2 linked regions of the Mus musculus genome follow. The protein of the gene in region 2 binds, or shares a complex with, the protein of the main gene of each other region. Links are inferred from orthologs where the notes say so. Each region holds a gene or a part of one and is shown on either strand. Other genes may lie near its edges. The genes, in order: Polr2c and Gtf2h4.

Evidence for each region.
Region 1: Gtf2h4 (region 2) and Polr2c share a complex: the UniProt entries of both Homo sapiens proteins name them as parts of the TBP-based Pol II pre-initiation complex. The link is inferred for Mus musculus from reciprocal best matches to the Homo sapiens genes GTF2H4 and POLR2C.

Annotation. Positions count from the first base shown.
Region 1 is NC_000074.6:94,856,222-94,860,131, reverse strand, and holds the start of Polr2c (DNA-directed RNA polymerase II subunit RPB3), read right to left. Parts: upstream 2,683-3,910; 5' UTR 2,577-2,682; coding exon 2,491-2,576; intron 2,386-2,490; coding exon 2,336-2,385; intron 1-2,335. UniProt on the Homo sapiens protein: Core component of RNA polymerase II (Pol II), a DNA-dependent RNA polymerase which synthesizes mRNA precursors and many functional non-coding RNAs using the four ribonucleoside triphosphates as substrates.
Region 2 is NC_000083.6:35,670,858-35,674,767, reverse strand, and holds the start of Gtf2h4 (general transcription factor IIH subunit 4), read left to right. Parts: upstream 1-1,024; 5' UTR 1,025-1,212; exon of another isoform or gene 1,213-1,253; intron 1,254-1,939; 5' UTR 1,940-1,942; coding exon 1,943-2,082; intron 2,083-2,670; coding exon 2,671-2,775; intron 2,776-3,410; coding exon 3,411-3,542; intron 3,543-3,805; coding exon 3,806-3,902; intron 3,903-3,910. UniProt on the Homo sapiens protein: Component of the general transcription and DNA repair factor IIH (TFIIH) core complex, which is involved in general and transcription-coupled nucleotide excision repair (NER) of damaged DNA and, when complexed to CAK, in RNA transcription by RNA polymerase II.

The sequences.
Region 1 (3,910 bases), on a different chromosome or scaffold from region 2:
GCCTGGTCTACAAAGTGAGTTCCAGGACAGCCAGGGCTACACAGAGAAACATTGTCTCAAAAAACAAAACAAACAAACAAAACCCAACCAAACAAAAACAAAAATTAAAAAAAAAAAAAAAAAAAAAAAAGCAAGCAAGCAAGCAAGCAAGCATCAATTCAGCTTACAAAGTTGAAGGTGTCCTGACCAGGCTGCAAGAGGCTCAAAGTGACTTCAAAGTGATGGCTCCAGGTTCAGGCATCCCACACGCCATACATAACACCTTCCTGCCCCAGTGGGGGATGGGCCTTGCTAGTGATACACCACACATGCATGCACATACTCTCTCTTAGAGCTTTTTGGGATATTTAAGGAGTTGAATACTTATCTAAGGATTACTTTAAATCTGCTACCTGTGCCAATCCCAAACCCAAGAACGAAAGCTATCTGGACACCATGGGCTGGAGGGATGGCTCCGCAGTTCTGAGGTTCCTGGCACCCATGTCAGGCAGCTCACAACCCCTGTAACTCCAACTCCAGGGGCATCTGAGACCCCTGGCCACCTCCAGCCCCTGCATTCACTGGTAAACACCCACACACAGAGACACAATTTTAAAAACTTAAAAGTCAGGGAAAACATCACAACAGCAAAACATCCCAAGTTTCAGGGCCCACACCTCGTTTGTGATATAACCAGATAGCCCACTTGGAATTTCAGTGTTCCTCTCATCAGTAGATGTTCACTGGACAGCTTCACCAGGGAAAGCCCACTAACAATAGAACCCAATCCCCCCCCAGGCACTGCTGGGCAAATGGGGCTGTAGCATACAGATGCTGCACTTAAGCATGTGTCTAGTCACCCATCAGCAAACACCTGCATGTAAACAATAATGTTCAGAAATCAGTGGTGTTGGAAACCCAGTTCTCAAGGAGCTGATGTAGGCCAGGAAGAGGCCGGAAGACCAGCTGAGGATAGGCCCAACCTGCCCTTCACCGCAGTGCTTCCTCAACTCAAGCAAGGACCAAGCTTCCTGATGATTTACTTCTGGGGCCCATTGAATGCCCTTAATCTACTTCCACCATTCCCATTCCCCGACCCCTGGTGGGAATTCCCCATCTCAGAAAACCTCGAGTGTCCATGTTTACAAACGCTCCACTCCCTTTTGGCCTCCTTCCTCTCTCAAAACAAACAAACAAACAAACGATAAAACTGGTCAGATTCTCCTGAAGGTGTCATATTTTGCCTTGTTATGTTTGCTCATGTCTTGTCTCTAACTGAAAACGTACATGATTTACATATGCAGCAGAAATAAGAAATTCATTTTTAAAAAGACACCAGGATGGATTTAAAAAAACAAAAAACCGAAGTCTGTCTGTCTGTCTGTCTCTCTCTCACACACACACACACACACACACACACACTTCAACAATAAGGAACAAAAGTATGTTGTTTGTTAAAGAAAATCTTAAGCCGGGCAGTGGTGGTGCACGCCTTTAATCCCAGCTCTTGGGAGGCAGAGGCAGAGGCAGGCAGATTTCTGAGTTCCAGGCCAGCCTGGTCTACAAAGTGAGTTCCAGGACAGCCAGGGCTACACAGAGAAACCCTGTCTTGAAAAACAAACAAACAAACAAAATTAGAAAATCTTTATAACACATGCTTTCTCTCATGTGGAATCTCTCTCTTTTTCTCTTTCTCTCTTTAATAAAGAGAAAGTTCGGAGCCTGCAAGATGTGCAAGATACTTTTTGTTGTCAAGCCTTAAGGAGTTCAATCCTGGGCCCCATATGGTGGGAGAAGAGAATCCCTCCTACAAGCTGTACTCTGACCTCTACACATGAACTCCGGTACTCGAGCCCAGAGATAGACACATATATGTAAATAAAGGTTTTCAAAAAGATAGGGGGAGACGACAAGAAAGTATAGCAGGGTACTATCTGGAAGGATGGGAGAGACCAGGTACACTCTGTGTGTGTAGATTTCAAACTACATAACGAAGCCCATGATTTTGTAAAATCAGCATATATGTTCAAAAGACACCAGCCAGTAGCGAACACTGACGTCAAAGCAAAAGCGCATCATCTACACTACTTCGGCAATCGCTGCATCACCTGCTAACGACGCCTAGCATCTACACCGCCCGGATGAGGAGGCTGCAGCCCTCCGCTGTTTAACAGTGCTTGGTTTTGATTTCTGTTGCTTTGGGGTAGACGAACAGTACTGGGAAACCCGCAGCTGAGCAAGGCACGCACCAAGGCGGGCCTAGGCTGCCCCAGCCCAGCGTACAGCACCGCAGTGTTCTCAGCCCCCACCCCGGGCGGAGGGTGGGCGGCACGGGCTCCCAGGGACGGTCGCTTACCTATTATGGGCACCTCTGCGATGAAGACCCTCCGAATGGAATTGGCCACCCTACAGGAGGAAAGACAGGCGGTGTGAGCGGCCCCGAAGCCACAGCCCCGGGGTCAGGAGCTCGAGGACCCGGCCGCCCGCCCGCCTCTCCCCTCGCCGCCTTACGCCAGGTCCGTGTTCTCGATAATGAACTTGACGTTCTCTTCGGTGAGTTCCGTGATCCGCACTGTTGGCTGGTTGGCGTACGGCATCGCGACCCTCCGCCAGGCTCCCGCGCCAGCCGCACAGCGCGCCTGCGCGGCCACCAGCAGTTTGTCGGCGGGGCAATCGGCGCTTCCGGCTAGTCGCGGGCGCAGCGCCACCTGCTGACCGGAGGCCGGAACTCTCCTGGCCTGTGTTTTCTAACCACACCGGCGCCAAAATGCATTGGTCCTATACTCTTGAAATCCCCAAGATATACAGCACAAAAATTAAATGTACAGGGTCATTCATGCCAACGTTATTTATAACTGCTAAAAATAACGCATTAGGCAATGATCGATAGAGACTTGGTTAAACTTACATACGGGGCTGGAGATACGGCATTGGGGATAAGAGCACTGGCTGTTCTTATGTAAGACTTGGATTGTATTCCCAGCACCCATATGATGCCTAACATCTTTAGCTTCAGTTTCTGAGGAAACTCTCTCCTGGTATCTGAGGGCACCAGGTATTCACATGGTGCACAAATATACATGCAAGCAAAACATCCTTATACATAAAAATAATTTTTAAAATACATAGGAATACAATGAAACCTTAAAAAAAACCATTAAAAAGTTGTACATCTATACATGAACAAAATGGCTAGGGAGGTGACTCAAGCATGCAAGACGACTGATAGGTTATTTCTCTGCTGGTAAAATGAGCCAATTCAAGACAGATTAGAATATATTAAAAGGCAGGTTTATTGGGAAGCTGCTCTCAGGTGAGTTCACTGGCCTTAAGAACAGAGGCCGGGGAACCGCCATGGGAAGGGCAGAGAGGGAGAAGAGAAAGGGCCTGGGGCAGGGGGAGGGAGATAGATCGATCCAGAGAGCAAGAGCAAAATGTCTGGATTCTATAGGGAAGAACCTCTTGGGGAAGGGCAGCCCAGCCTCTGGGCTGGAAAGTTCAGGGTGGAGGCAGAGCATGCCAGGTGGGGACTGAAGGATGCTGGGAGAACCTGGAGGCCAGGTCTGCTTTGACGGGTAAAATATGCACCTCAGTCACTTGTTCCAGGGTGCGAAGCCAAACCCTGATGTGCAAGGACACAAGGTCAAATTCTCAGAACACCTGTAAAGAGGCATGGTAATGCAAGAGTCTAATCTTAGGCTCCTGTGAGTAGGAAGATGGAGAGAAGAATCCCCTGGATGCTCTCAGGACAGTTAGATAACACACAAAGAAGCAAACAAGAGACCCACATCCGAGCTAATGTCAGAGAGAGTACTGTAATGCATACACAAGAAAAACAAAACCCATGTTTTTTTGTTTGTTTGTTTTTGTTTTTGTTTTTCAAGACAGGGTTTCTCTGTATAGCTCTGGCTGTCCTGGAACTCACTTTGTA
Region 2 (3,910 bases):
GTGCGCCACCACACCCGGCTCAGATCTCTTATTCTTGTTGAGCTTGATAGCCTGTGATGTAAGAATAACAGAATTTGCCCCCATAAGAATTGGAGACCCTACAGATGACCTTAGTTGATGTCATTTTCCCTTTCCCTTGTCTTGCCTAGGATAAATTCATAAATCAAATCAGGGCAAATGATAGCTTTCTCTTAAAAATTGCAATGTAATCTTCTAACTCCCCAGGGAGTTGGAAGAGATTAAGATTGAGTGAGCAGGTGGGAGGATGGTGGAGAGATGGCTGTCCTTCCAAAGGGCCCAAGTTCAATTCCTAGCACTAACATAACAGCTCACTGCTGTATGTAATTCCAGTTCCAGGGAATCTGACTTCACATAGACATTTTGATTGATTGAGCTCCAAATGAGGGCAATTGTGTTGATCCACGTCATGTGAAGATGTTCTGCACTGATCATTATCTCAGTTTCGTGAGGAACAACAGAGGTCAAGAAACCCAGTTTGTCGCCGGGTGTGGTGGCGCACGCCTTTAATCCCAGCACTCGGGAGGCAGAGGCAGGCGGAGTTCTGAGTTCGAGGCTAGCCTGGTCTACAAAGTGAGTTCCAGGACAGCCAGAGCTATACAGAGAAACCCTGTCTCGAAAAACCTAAAAAAAAAATAAGAAGAAGGAAGAAAGAAAGAAAGAAAGAAAGAAAGAAAGAAAGAAACCCAGTTTGAGGTCTCTACATCTAACATAACACCACTAAGCTGCTTTAGTACGTCTCCGATAGGAGGCCCCGGAGCTCCTCCAGGTTTGCTGCCTCCTCCTGATCTGACAAGAGATTCACCTTGCTGTATAGGGGAGAGAGGCGCGGAATCAAAAGGTCTGACTTCGGATGTTTCTAGGGAATCCCAATGAAAAGCCACCTTTTCTCGGCCGGCCTTCTTGCGGTGCCTTTAGGGATTTGTAGTCAGAGCCTGACTCATAGTCTCCAATGTAGGCTAGAAGAGGACTACAATTCCCAAGATGCCTTGCGACAGGCGAGTGCATTGCCTATTCTAACCCCCTTTACTCTTGACACATTTCTCTGCTCTCCCTTCTCTTTGGACTGCTTATTGACTGGGTCCTGTCTGTGAAGTTCTTCGTGGTTCTCCCACCTTTTAGAATTCTCATCCTTTATTTCCAGGAGCCAATGCGAGACATTAGCACTGATTAGGCGACGGCTGGTGACCCGGGGTGCGCGAGGGGGAGCCGAGTGGTGAGGGGGTTTGAGAAGGGTAAGGGAGAGAGTTGAGCGAGAAGCGGAGTGAAAGGAAAGTCGGGGAGATGTGAGGAGCTCAGAGGCGTGGGTCTCAGTGAGAGGGGTAAGGCTGGCTGGAGGGAAAGGGATAGAAAGGGATTTAGGTTGGTAAGCATGAGGCAGTTTATAGCCGTGTCCCCAGATGAGAGCTAAGGATTTGACCCATTTGGACTGATCTGACCAGGAGGGTGGACAAGAGAGAGAAGCCTGGGCTCAAATAAGTATCTTTGTCAATGCTTAGGTGAACTTGAGATGTCATTGATATGCAAAACACTCGCAAGTATGAAACGATAAGTAATTCAGTCCACACCGGTGAGGATCTGGATTTGATCCTCAGGACCATACACAAAAATGAGACTAATTCCACCTCCTGGAGACTGAACAAAGGCTGAACTTCAAGGGCAGATATGGGATGAAAAGCCTGGTGGCCACTTGGGAAGTAAAGGCAGATGGATCAGGGGTTCAAATCCATCCTTGGCTCCATAGCAAATTCAAGGCCATTGTGAGCTGCATAATGAAGAAAAGAAGCAGGACACGAGGGGTTTGGGAGGAATAGGTGATAAGTGGCATCAGACAGGAAAGTACAGAAAGTGAACCTAATAGATCTGGAGTCAGTGATATAGGCCTGGGTCATGTGGGAGTTCTGACATTTGTCCCTCTCAGGTGATGGAGATCACCCCGGCGAGGGGTGGACTGAACCGAGCACACCTACAATGCAGGAATCTCCAGGAGTTCTTAGGAGGCCTGAGCCCTGGGGTGCTGGACCGATTGTATGGGCACCCTGCCACTTGTCTGGCTGTCTTCAGGTGAGGAGCCTTCAGAGCAAAGGGGATGTTTGGAGAATGTAATGGGGCCTGCAGACTGAAATTAGTTAGCACGGGGAGAGGCTTATTAGCCCAGCGTGAGTACCAGGGTGTTAGACATTACTCCAAAGTGTGTCAGTCCAAACCAGAAAGAGGTTGTGGGGACAGTGGGACTGCTAAGGACGTGGGAGATGGCATGAGACGTTTGAGAGACAGAGGTTGCAGGGTATTTGATCACATAGTGAACTCCAAGATTATGAACCAGAAAAACCTTGTTATTGTGGCTCAGCCCTAAGCACACACCTTTTTTTTAGCCAAGGGCTAATGTCAACCGTAGGTCAAGAGATGGAGCAACCAAGTAAACAGAAATTAGCAACGTTGAGTTGAAGGGAATTTAAGACAGTGTGGAGAATTCTCGGAGAGGGAGCTTTTTCTTTCTGGGATGTCATTGGAGAAAAAAAGGTCAGCTGGGTGCTTTCTCTGCCTCTCTGAGCAGTTGGGATGTTTGTTTTTTTTAAACCACAGGCAGATGAGGGCAGAGATGCAGGTGTGAGGTGGCTTCTGATAACATTTGGCCTCTGAACCTTACAGGGAGCTCCCCTCTTTGGCTAAGAACTGGGTCATGAGGATGCTCTTTCTGGAGCAGCCGCTACCACAGGCTGCGGTGGCCCTGTGGGTGAAGAAGGAGTTCAGCAAGTGAGTCCCGGGCGGGCGCAGCTGCTTCGAGCTTCCCAACAGCCACATTTCTCAAAGGACTTTTGTTTGGAACACTTGCAGGGTGCACACACAGAGGAGCTAGGGGAATCAGATGTGGGCCTTTCAACAGAGCCTGCCCTACACAAGGAAAACCCTCCAGAATACACCTGCAGAGGTTTCCACTGTGGAGAGTTGTGTCTCTTTAGCTGTATGCTAACTAGAACAAAACAAACAAACAAACAAAAAGACAAAGGGGAAAAAGCCGCCCCCGCACTCCCCCAACCCCAAGTTGATAGGTAGAGATAGGGAACCAGAGATTCAAGGATTATATCGTAAGTTTGATGTATTGTAAGTTTGAGGCTGTCCCAGGCTTCATAGGACCCTTCCTGAAACAAAACAAATGAAAAGGAAAAAAAAAAAAAAAAGAATTGACTTAGAAAACAAAACAGAGAAACCAACAACAATCAAAACGAACTAGGTTCTCCTTAGCATTGCAGTGCAGGTATCTGAGGTGAGAAACACAGCTTCGCCCTGCGACACTGTTCCAAGGGCCTCCCGTTCAGAGGAGATAGATGAAGCTCCCTGGAGGTCTCCTTGCTATTGGTGATACCCCACTCAACTCTGCTTCTGTCCAGGGCTCAGGAGGAAAGTACGGGGCTGCTGAGTGGCCTCCGTATCTGGCATACCCAGCTGCTCCCTGGTGGACTCCAAGGCCTCATCTTGAACCCCGTCTTCCGCCAGAACCTCCGAATTGCCCTTCTGGGTGGGTACGTCATTTCCCTCCCTTCCTGAGCTAGGCAAGGGGAACTGCTTATTACACTGGTGGGGGAGAATCTCCTGAGAGGCCTCCCCAGAGCCTCTCCCCATCCCCACCCCCACCCCTTGGAATGCTCCTTCAAGAATACATTGGACCAGGTGTGGATGTAGGGTGCAGAAAATGTCCTTTTCTTGTAGCCCTTGGGATGAGGGTAAAGACCTAGGGATGCAGGAAGCAGACAGGGTTCCTTACTCCTGTGTATCCTGGCCACAGGGGCAAGGCCTGGTCTGATGACACAAGTCAGCTGGGACCAGACAAGCATGCCCGGGACGTCCCCTCACTGGACAAGTATGCTGAGGAGCGCTGGGAGGTGAGGAG